Arabidopsis thaliana: one gene and its partner. The protein of the gene in region 2 interacts with the protein of the main gene of each other region in a biochemical or structural test. Each region holds a gene or a part of one and is shown on either strand. Other genes may lie near its edges.

Region 1 (5,128 bases), on a different chromosome or scaffold from region 2:
TTTTTAGTGGAGGTCTAAACATACATAAGATTCTATAGATTGACATTTGGGAAACCATCCTCATACAAAAAAGACCTAAACGGAATCTATGAAGAATTATTAACAGAAAAGAAAAACAGATGGCAATGAGAAAAGATCGGGTTCAAGGAAAACACAGCCGTACAAAACTCAAGAACAAAAACACCAAAAATAAACAAAAAAACTTCCAAAAATAGATATAGAATCACATGGTTTTGTTGTTTTGTCTATTTGTTCTCTATAAAAGGAGATATTTGGTTGGATCTATCATAGCGTCTCCTCTCAACCAAAGCTTACAATTTGTTCTCCCTTAAAAACTAAATTTTACAAATAAACTCTCAAATCCAAGAGAGGAGAAGACCGAAGTAAAAACACAAGAAAAAAAAGGATTAAGGCATAATGGCCAAATTCTTCATTGTCTTCCTTGCCTCTGCCCTATGTTTCACCACCCTCGTTCACTTCACCGCAGCTGATGCCGACGACTTTGACAAATTCCACATCAAGGGCTCCGTCTACTGCGACACATGCCGTGTCCAATTCATCACCCGTATCAGCAAATTTCTCGAGGGTAATTAACCACATTCTCTAATCAAATTCATTTGTTGAGCATACTGTCAATAGCAAAATATATTGGTTGATAAAAAATCGATCCCATTATGGTATATAGGTCAATGGTTAGAATTGTGTAGTAAAAATTCACAAAAATGATTACAAGCATATATAGACGTCTTTTTAACAATGTTAAAATTTTATAAAAATGTGGTTAGTCACATTTCTAAGAGTTAGTGTTGCAAGATTATAAGAAAAACTAATTACGTTATTGTGTGTATATCAGGGGCAAAGGTAAAGCTTGAGTGCAAGGGTCGTGAGAACCAGACAGTGACCCTAACCAAAGAAGCCGTGACCGACAACGCCGGTAACTACCAGATGGAAGTAATGGGTGACCACGAAGAGGAAGTGTGCGAGATCGTCCTCCTCCAATCACCTGACCCAGAGTGTGGAGACGTGAACAACCAAGAATTCCTAAGAAACGCAGCCAGAATCAGTCTCACGGCCAATGATGGCATTGTCTCCAACGAGACTCGAACCATTAACCCACTTGGGTTCATGAGGAAGACTCCTCTCGCTGAATGCCCTCAAGTTTTCAAGGAGCTTGGAATCGTCCCTGACGTCACCTTCTAAGCTTAATATACATATATACACACCCATATACATCGATCTCTCAAAGTCTCAACACTTTCAATTTTTTTGATGACTCTTTTTAATATATAAAACATTTATTTATGTTTTTTATGTGTCTGTCTGAGTTTACTAATTAACCATGTTTTTTTTTCGTTGTTATTGTTTTATTTTTGGGAGTTCTTTTTTACGAATGATTTGATTACCTTCCAATATTTATTTGTTACTTTTCGATTGAACAGATACATGCATGATGTAGTGAAAAACCCTACTCTAAAATAAATTTAAATCATTTACATGCATAGTGAAATTTATGACAGTTTGAGAAAGCTACATATGTAACATATAATGTGAATTATAGTTTGAGGTAAATGACTCAAACTGAAATAAGCAAAAGACAACAAATAAAATCGAACCCTTACCTAAAGAAGGCGGATCAGAGTTTTGTATATATTGGGCCTTTAGTCTGAGCCACTAGGCCTGAATCACAAAACGCGTTTTCACGACAAGCGTTTGCACCAGGATCTTTTGCAGCGTCTGGCGTTGGTTTTCAAACTCTGAATCCGAAACGCTAGATTTTAAGACGCCGAATTTGTTAAGCGTTCTCTATTTCCTGATTTCAGCATCTAAAGACAAATATACCCTTCAAAAAATTGTAAAACTACGAGAAGACTGTCCATTTATCTTTTCTTTCAAGCCAAAAAAAACTCTCGAATCTTCTTCTTCTTATTTCTTCTATACCGTCGTCGAAAAGCTTTACCAAAATCTCACGCCCCCGACGATTCATCGGTAAGTCTTGTTCTTGCGAAATTTCATTAATTCTTCTTCTGGGTTTGCTTATCAGATCTGCTTAATTCTGGGTTTTGGTATGCGTATTGTTTTCGATGTTTTAAAAAACCACATCTGGTTCCTTGTCTCGATAGTTCTAGGGTTTAGCTTTCTTCGATTTAGTTGATCTCAGTGAAGATGGGCCCGAGGATGTTCTAATTCTGATTGAAAGAAGCTGAATACAAAATTAAATAGATCTTAAAAGTATTTGAGTCGAAGAATTCGAACTGAATAAGTTAGTAATTACTGAACTATGTCTCTGTGATTCATCTTATTACTTAAAAATTAGGTTATAGTTTCATAGGCTTTGTAATTCAGTTCCTGTATTACTTATTGTAGCCTCGTTGTATCTTTGTCTTTGATAGATCTCTAGGCTTGTCTTGATCATTAGGTACAGAAGAGTTGATAAATTACAGTGATAAATTACCATCGTGGCTTGTCTTTATCTGATTATCTTGGTAATGTATCGAAGATGGATTTGTTTTTGTAGTGATGTGAAACCTAAAGAGTATCAATAAGCTTGAAAGGAGAAATATTTGAACATTGCATTAACAGGTCTATGGCTTTATTGTTGCAGGGATTTGAGTTTGCACTAAACCCACAATGGTTTCCTATCGTGCTACCACAGAGACGATTTCCCTGGCTTTAGAAGCCAACAGCTCGGAGGCTATTACGATACTGTACCAGGTTTTGGAAGACCCTTCTTCATCTCCTGAGGCTATACGGATCAAGGAGCAAGCGATTACAAACCTTTGTGATCGATTGACTGAAGAGAAGAGAGGTGAGGATCTCCGGAAACTGTTGACCAAGTTGAGGCCTTTCTTTTCCTTAATCCCCAAGGCGAAAACTGCGAAAATCGTCAGAGGAATCATTGATGCTGTGGCAAAGATTCCTGGAACAACTGATCTCCAGATCACTCTCTGCAAAGAGATGGTCGAATGGACCCGCGCTGAGAAGCGTACTTTCCTCAGGCAGCGAGTAGAGGCTAGGCTTGCAGCTCTTTTGATGGAGAACAAGGAGTATGTTGAAGCTTTGGCGTTGTTGAGTACTTTGGTAAAAGAGGTTAGGAGATTAGATGATAAGCTCCTTCTGGTCGACATAGACTTGCTGGAGAGCAAACTTCACTTCTCATTGAGAAACTTACCCAAGGCAAAAGCTGCACTCACTGCAGCTAGGACAGCTGCTAACGCTATATATGTCCCACCAGCTCAACAAGGCACGATAGATCTGCAGAGTGGGATTCTTCATGCTGAAGAGAAAGACTACAAAACCGGATACAGTTACTTCTTTGAAGCCTTTGAGTCCTTCAACGCTCTCGGAGATCCGAGAGCGGTTTTCAGTTTGAAGTACATGTTACTGTGCAAGATCATGGTTAGCCAAGCTGATGATGTTGCAGGAATAATCTCCTCAAAGGCTGGACTACAGTACGTTGGCCCTGACCTGGATGCCATGAAAGCAGTCGCTGATGCTCACTCGAAGAGGTCCTTGAAGTTGTTTGAGAACGCACTCCGTGACTACAAAGCACAGCTTGAAGATGACCCAATTGTCCACAGGCATCTCTCTTCTCTCTATGACACGCTTCTGGAGCAAAATCTGTGTCGTTTGATCGAGCCCTTCTCAAGAGTTGAGATAGCTCACATTGCTGAGCTCATTGGATTGCCGCTCGACCATGTGGAAAAGAAGCTATCTCAGATGATACTCGACAAGAAATTTGCAGGTACCTTGGATCAAGGAGCTGGATGCCTCATCATCTTCGAAGACCCAAAGGCAGATGCTATCTACTCGGCTACCCTCGAAACCATTGCAAACATGGGGAAGGTCGTCGACAGCCTTTATGTCCGGTCTGCCAAAATCATGTCCTGAGAGAGTGAGTGAGTTGGTCGTATGAATCTCATTCTATCGTTCTTTCTTTCTGGTTTTAGATATCGTTTGGACTCAAAGAAACTGATGTTTCTCAATGGAGAAAGTAAACTTGTCTGAATTGTTCACATTACTCGTTTTGCTTATGATCTTATTATGTCATGGTTTCTTACCTTTTATTAGTGCTTAAAATGTAGTTTGTTTTCATCTGGTTGTTGCAGTTTCTTTTTCTTAGCCTCGCAAGTCAACATTGTGTTCTCTTTTTCCAAAACCTTTAATCTTTACCTCATCCAAATCTCATTGATTTTTCTATCTCCGCATTTATAAATTCTGACCAACCCAGAACTCAATTCACAGGACCCACCATTTCTTTTCTCAACTCAGGACATGACTTGCACACAAGCAAGTCTTGATTTTGTTCTCTTCTTCTGTCATATTCTTTTATGTGCTGCTTCATCACAGTAGCTTTTCTAGTTAGCTTCGTGATTATTGATGAAGTAAACAAATTCTGTTAAAACGTTTATTTTAAATGTTAACACTAAAATGTGACATACTACAGTCATCCACAAAAATGTTGATAAGGCATATATTTTCACAAATCATAATATTTCGTTAAGATTTAAGACATTTTTTTGGCTGTTTGAAAAGGTTATTTATCATTAGTGGTTTACTGGTCTTTTATTGGAAGGACAAACATTTAGAGTGTTCCAATATTTGTTCAATTTCTTCTTCATAAACAGTAAAAACCTTATTCTAGTTATGTAGGTATCCCATTATTGTGTGATTGTCAGTTTATAGCTGAAAAGTGAAAACTTAAATGTCCAATTGAATGAGGTTTCTTCTTGGTTGAAAGATTAACTAGACTAATGTCCATAATCTTTAACTAACTTTACGTACACTTAAACGATGCGAAGCTACAAAGACCAAAAAAGTTAGATTTCTATAGGTTTATGAGATTGAGCAATAATAACTAAAAAAATTAGTACTACTAATAAATAGTTTCAAGGATAATTAATGGTCAACCACACCGTCTTTGTTTAGAGAAGAAAAATCCCACGGCCACGAGCTTCAATTTACAGCAAGAGAAATTAAAAAGCAACAGCTGTTTAGTAGATAAGCAAGTATTAAAAACCTACTAATTAATTAGTAATTAACTAGTTAAATTTTGTTGCTAGCCTGTACGTATCCAGAGTAATCAAAGCAAAGCAAATTTAACCACGTTCTTTCTTTCTACGGGTTAAAT
Region 2 (4,540 bases):
TTAAGACTTTGACTTTTAGATAGAGAGCCATTGACAATTATATCATGCATGATTCACGTCGTCAAAGTAAGTATGAAAAACCACGAAAAACGATTTAACGAAATGTCAATATTCAAACAATTGTAGAAGAGCCTAGAAAAAAGTTGAACATAATTATATAGTTCGTTTGGGTCCAAGAGGACCGTTAATGGCATTTAATTAGGTTTTGTCGGTAACAAAAGAAGAAATAATCAAAAGAGAACAACGTTTTTTAATTTAATTAGAAGTAAGAGGCTACCCATAACTTATAACTGCGATCGTGGAAAATGTAAACGAAGTATAGGATGATGAAATTGAAAATTTGGGTCACCCACCCATATCGCAGGGGCAAAGAAGAAGAACTTTAAAAAGATGCTTCGTCATCAAGTCAAACTAATAAGTTTAACCGAGAAAAATGTGAAGAATCAAATCCTGATAGCCGGTTGTTCCGTCGTCGGTCGAATGATCTAAATAATGTAATTGTCTAACAGAGATTGATTTTATCGTGTCGGCATGCTCAGTTCTGCCTAAAACACAAGAGCATTAATGCATTTTATTATACGAAACAAAGGCAAGCAAAATAATGTCAAAACAAATATTAAAGACTGTTGATTATAAGAATATATCCGAATAACGACTTATTTTGAAGCGTTGGTTCCAGATAACTCTTACTCTACTCTTTATATCAATTGTCAATACAAAGCAATGAAAAAACTATTTAGGCAACGAAGCAGACGACTAAAAACAAAAGAGTTCTAATCAAACAAAAAATAAACTCCAAAGCCAACCAGAGAGAGCAGTATAGCAATGTAAAACATAAATAAAACAAATATGTTACTGAAAAATCATGTTTTCTGATACTTGAAAAAAAGAAAGATCAAATCATATAAAAATCATTTTTAACTTTTTATTATTTATATATAGAGCTGTCTCCACATAATTACTATTATTCCAAAAATAATTGTTCAAATTTTATGTAAACAAACGTCATCAAACTATTCCATGAATAAAATTGTTCAAATTATGTCTATTCGCTTACGTTAAATATGTAACAATATGTTACATGTATGATACATCAGAAACGAAACGACGACAACAATCTCGTGGTAACAATGTAAATGATAGTGAATTAGTGATGAGGAGCCAACTATAAAGATTTATCATATCGTGGAAAATACTTTAATAAGAAATTGTATGCTAATGTTTATGTATAATTTCTGAAAATAATTAACAAAAATAAAAGGAGATATTTTTTTAAATAACAAAGTGATTTTGAAAAATAAAGAGAGGATAATACCATTTTGGCAAAATTGTATATTGTGATATTCATGAAGACCATAAACAAAATTATCCTCGAACGAGATGCCATATCATCAAAGTCGAGAAACGATGGGTTAGAGATTTGTAGTTTTGTTGATCGTGTGATGTTGCCAAACTACGGGTTCGAAAGTCTTAAAGACCTTTATAAAGGAAATGCGTCGAGTATTTTGCTCGAGAGCCTCGGTTGGGTCAGTGTCAACATGTTGAGTGATAAGCTCGAGGACATTAGTATCTATGAAAGTGGAAATGGTTATGAAGTACATGTATGAGGGTATTGGTTACAGGGATATGAAAGACCCATGTGCGTTATATGGTTATAGTATTCATATATCAATAGTAAAGCGACATCACGTGATATTTTTTCTTAATGTATCAAAATTCCACCAATTTCTATTTTCATTTTTGATTAATAAATACATTTCACTTTGATAGTATTTAGTAAATATTGATGAATAATCAACAGAAACAAGGCCGTACGAGAAAAGTTGTATACTCTCACTATTATATTTTATTTTACGACACAACAAAATGGAAAATCTTAAGTCAAAACGGGTGGCAAAAATGTGTAAAAAGAGAGGAAGAATCAATCAATTAAAAGACACAAAGCAGACAGTAGACACTCTTGTCTTCACCACCGCCACGATCGCGACCAAATGGCTCTCTTTATATTTTATCACAATTTTCTTATCCGTTTGTTACAATCTCTCTTTGAAAAGTCAAACCTTTTCATACGTCTCACGTGTTCTTTTTTCTTCACCCAACTCATCAGCGAAAATAAAAGGTCAAATCTATGTTCCTCGTTCGTTCCTTCTATGAGTAAATAATACTAATAAACTTTATTAAATAGGGGCAGATTTTTTCTTTTTTTAGCATATAGTTATAGGGACAGCTTTACAAAGAGTGTGTAATAACTAATAATATTTGTATTTTCCGTGTTTTGACTTTTTTAATAATTGTGAATTTTTGACATCTCCTTTATATTTAAACCCAACCTCCTTTCTCTCTTCCTCCTAACTTATTCAAACCAATTCACATCTTCCCAAACCCAACTACTACAACTTGTATTAAGAAAAAGATATATTCCCTTAGCTTCTTTGATCAATATATTCGTCAGGGTTCTCGTCAAAGTCCTCAGCATCTTCATCATATGTCCGGAGGAATAATGGATGAAGAGATCGAGATTCCTCCGTTCTTCCTTTGTCCTATCTCTTTGGAGATCATGAAAGATCCAGTGATAGTCTCTACCGGAATAACCTACGACAGAGACAGCATCGAGAAATGGCTATTTGCAGGCAAGAAAAACTCGTGTCCGGTCACCAAACAAGACATAACCGACGCGGATCTCACCCCGAATCACACTCTACGCCGTCTCATCCAATCTTGGTGCACCCTAAACGCCTCCTACGGCGTCGAGAGGATCCCTACCCCAAGACCTCCGATTTGTAAATCTGAGATCGAAAAGCTCATTAGAGATTCAGCCTCTTCCCATGAAAACCAAGTCAAGTGTCTCAAACGACTTCGTCAGATTGTGTCGGAGAACGCGACCAACAAGCGGTGTTTAGAGGCAGCGGGAGTACCGGAGTTCTTGGCCAACATCGTAAGCAACGACTCAGAAAATGGGAGTTTGACCGACGAAGCCCTCAACTTACTTTACCACCTCGAGACCTCAGAGACAGTCCTCAAGAATCTTTTAAACAACAAGAAAGATAACAATATCGTAAAGTCGTTGACGAAGATCATGCAGCGTGGGATGTACGAGTCCAGAGTCTATGCCACTTTGCTTCTCAAGAACATTCTCGAAGTAGCGGATCCAATGCAGAGTATGACTCTCAAGCCAGAGGTTTTCACTGAGGTCGTCCAGATCTTGGACGACCGGATCTCGCAGAAGGCGACCAAAGCTGCCATGCATATATTGGTGAACATATGCCCATGGGGAAGGAACAGACACAAGGCCGTGGAAGCTGGAGTAATCTCTGTGATCATCGAGCTTCTCATGGACGAGAGCTTCACATCAGAGAGGAGAGGTCCAGAGATGGCGATGGTGGTTCTTGATCTGTTGTGTCAGTGTGCGGAGGGACGAGCCGAGTTCTTGAACCACGGAGCAGCCATAGCGGTGGTGTGCAAGAAGATACTTAGGGTTTCACAGACAGCAAGCGATAGAGCGGTTAGGGTTTTGTTGTCGGTGGGAAGGTTCTGCGCAACGCCTGCTTTGTTGCACGAGATGTTACAGTTGGGGGTTGTAGCGAAGCTTTGTCTTGTGCTTCAAGTAAGCTGTGGAGGTAAGACCAAAGAGAAGGCAAAGGAGTTGCTTAAGTTGCACGCTAGGGTCTGGAAGGACTCGCCTTGTCTCCCAAAAAACATGATTCTTGCATATCCCTGCTGATGAAAACGAAGAAAACAATACAAACAAGTCCAATTCTCAGTGAGAGCAATCACATATATGAGAGATGCTGTTGAAAAAACTAAAGGAGTATTCAATTATTCATATCATTAATCCAATTTTCCTTAGGTTTCTTATTTCGTACTTTTGATGTTCTCAATGTAGATAATAGTGGAAAATGTTCATCAAATATTTTTTTTTATGAAAAACTGCAAAGATATCATATATAAAATCACAAGTTACCAGGCTATTGTCACTTTCATTTTCATTATTTTGGTAACGCTTTTATTTTTAAGTTTTTTTCTTCAATTTATGTATCCTCTTAATCTCCACTATAATCCAAGTAAAGGAGTATATATATATATATATCATTTAATTTCATCATCTCTTATTTGAACGAGTAAATGTGTAAGTTTTCTCCTAAAATATTTTTCTTTCTTTTGGTTTGTAGGATTATTTTGTAACATTCAATTAGACAAAATTCTTTTCTTCCAAGTTCTTATTTAATCCGATGCACGTTACCTCGTATTTTATTGCAAGAATCTTTGTATAATTTTTAACAATTGGGGCACATGGTCTTTATATATATATTGGCATATTGCAAAGCAAAAATTTTATACTAGCGAGGGTACCCAAAAACAAAATAAAAAGAAAATCTTTAGTCTAGATCGCATCTAGTTGAAATTTCATTCCTCCAAATTACAATATTAATTGCCATTCTTATAAAACACATAGAGATCAGTGTGTTATACTTTTGCATCACATGTAATGACTCATATTCTCATTGACCAGCGAAATTAGAAACGTCGAAGTACTACAGGA

The links. Proteins that work in one complex are often made in the same cells at the same time.
Region 1: the proteins of PUB23 (region 2) and ATS9 form a complex in vitro, tested with the Arabidopsis thaliana proteins (one study listed by BioGRID).

The regions. Positions count from the first base shown.
Region 1 is NC_003070.9:10,178,612-10,183,739, forward strand, and holds ATS9 (non-ATPase subunit 9), read left to right. Parts: upstream 1-1,690; 5' UTR 1,691-1,986; intron 1,987-1,987; exon of another isoform or gene 1,988-2,260; intron 2,261-2,602; 5' UTR 2,603-2,628; coding exon 2,629-3,888; 3' UTR 3,889-4,177; downstream 4,178-5,128. Other genes in the region: AT1G29140 (Pollen Ole e 1 allergen and extensin family protein), read left to right, coding at 418-586, 854-1,200. UniProt on the Arabidopsis thaliana protein: Component of the lid subcomplex of the 26S proteasome, a multiprotein complex involved in the ATP-dependent degradation of ubiquitinated proteins. In the complex, RPN6A is required for proteasome assembly.
Region 2 is NC_003071.7:15,082,282-15,086,821, reverse strand, and holds PUB23 (plant U-box 23), read left to right. Parts: upstream 1-2,262; 5' UTR 2,263-2,481; coding exon of another isoform or gene 2,482-2,485; coding exon 2,486-3,721; 3' UTR 3,722-3,967; downstream 3,968-4,540. Other genes in the region: AT2G35935 (uncharacterized protein), read right to left, coding at 2,482-2,592, 3,115-3,333. UniProt on the Arabidopsis thaliana protein: E3 ubiquitin-protein ligase that negatively regulates water stress response. May control in coordination with PUB23 a drought signaling pathway by ubiquitinating cytosolic RPN12a.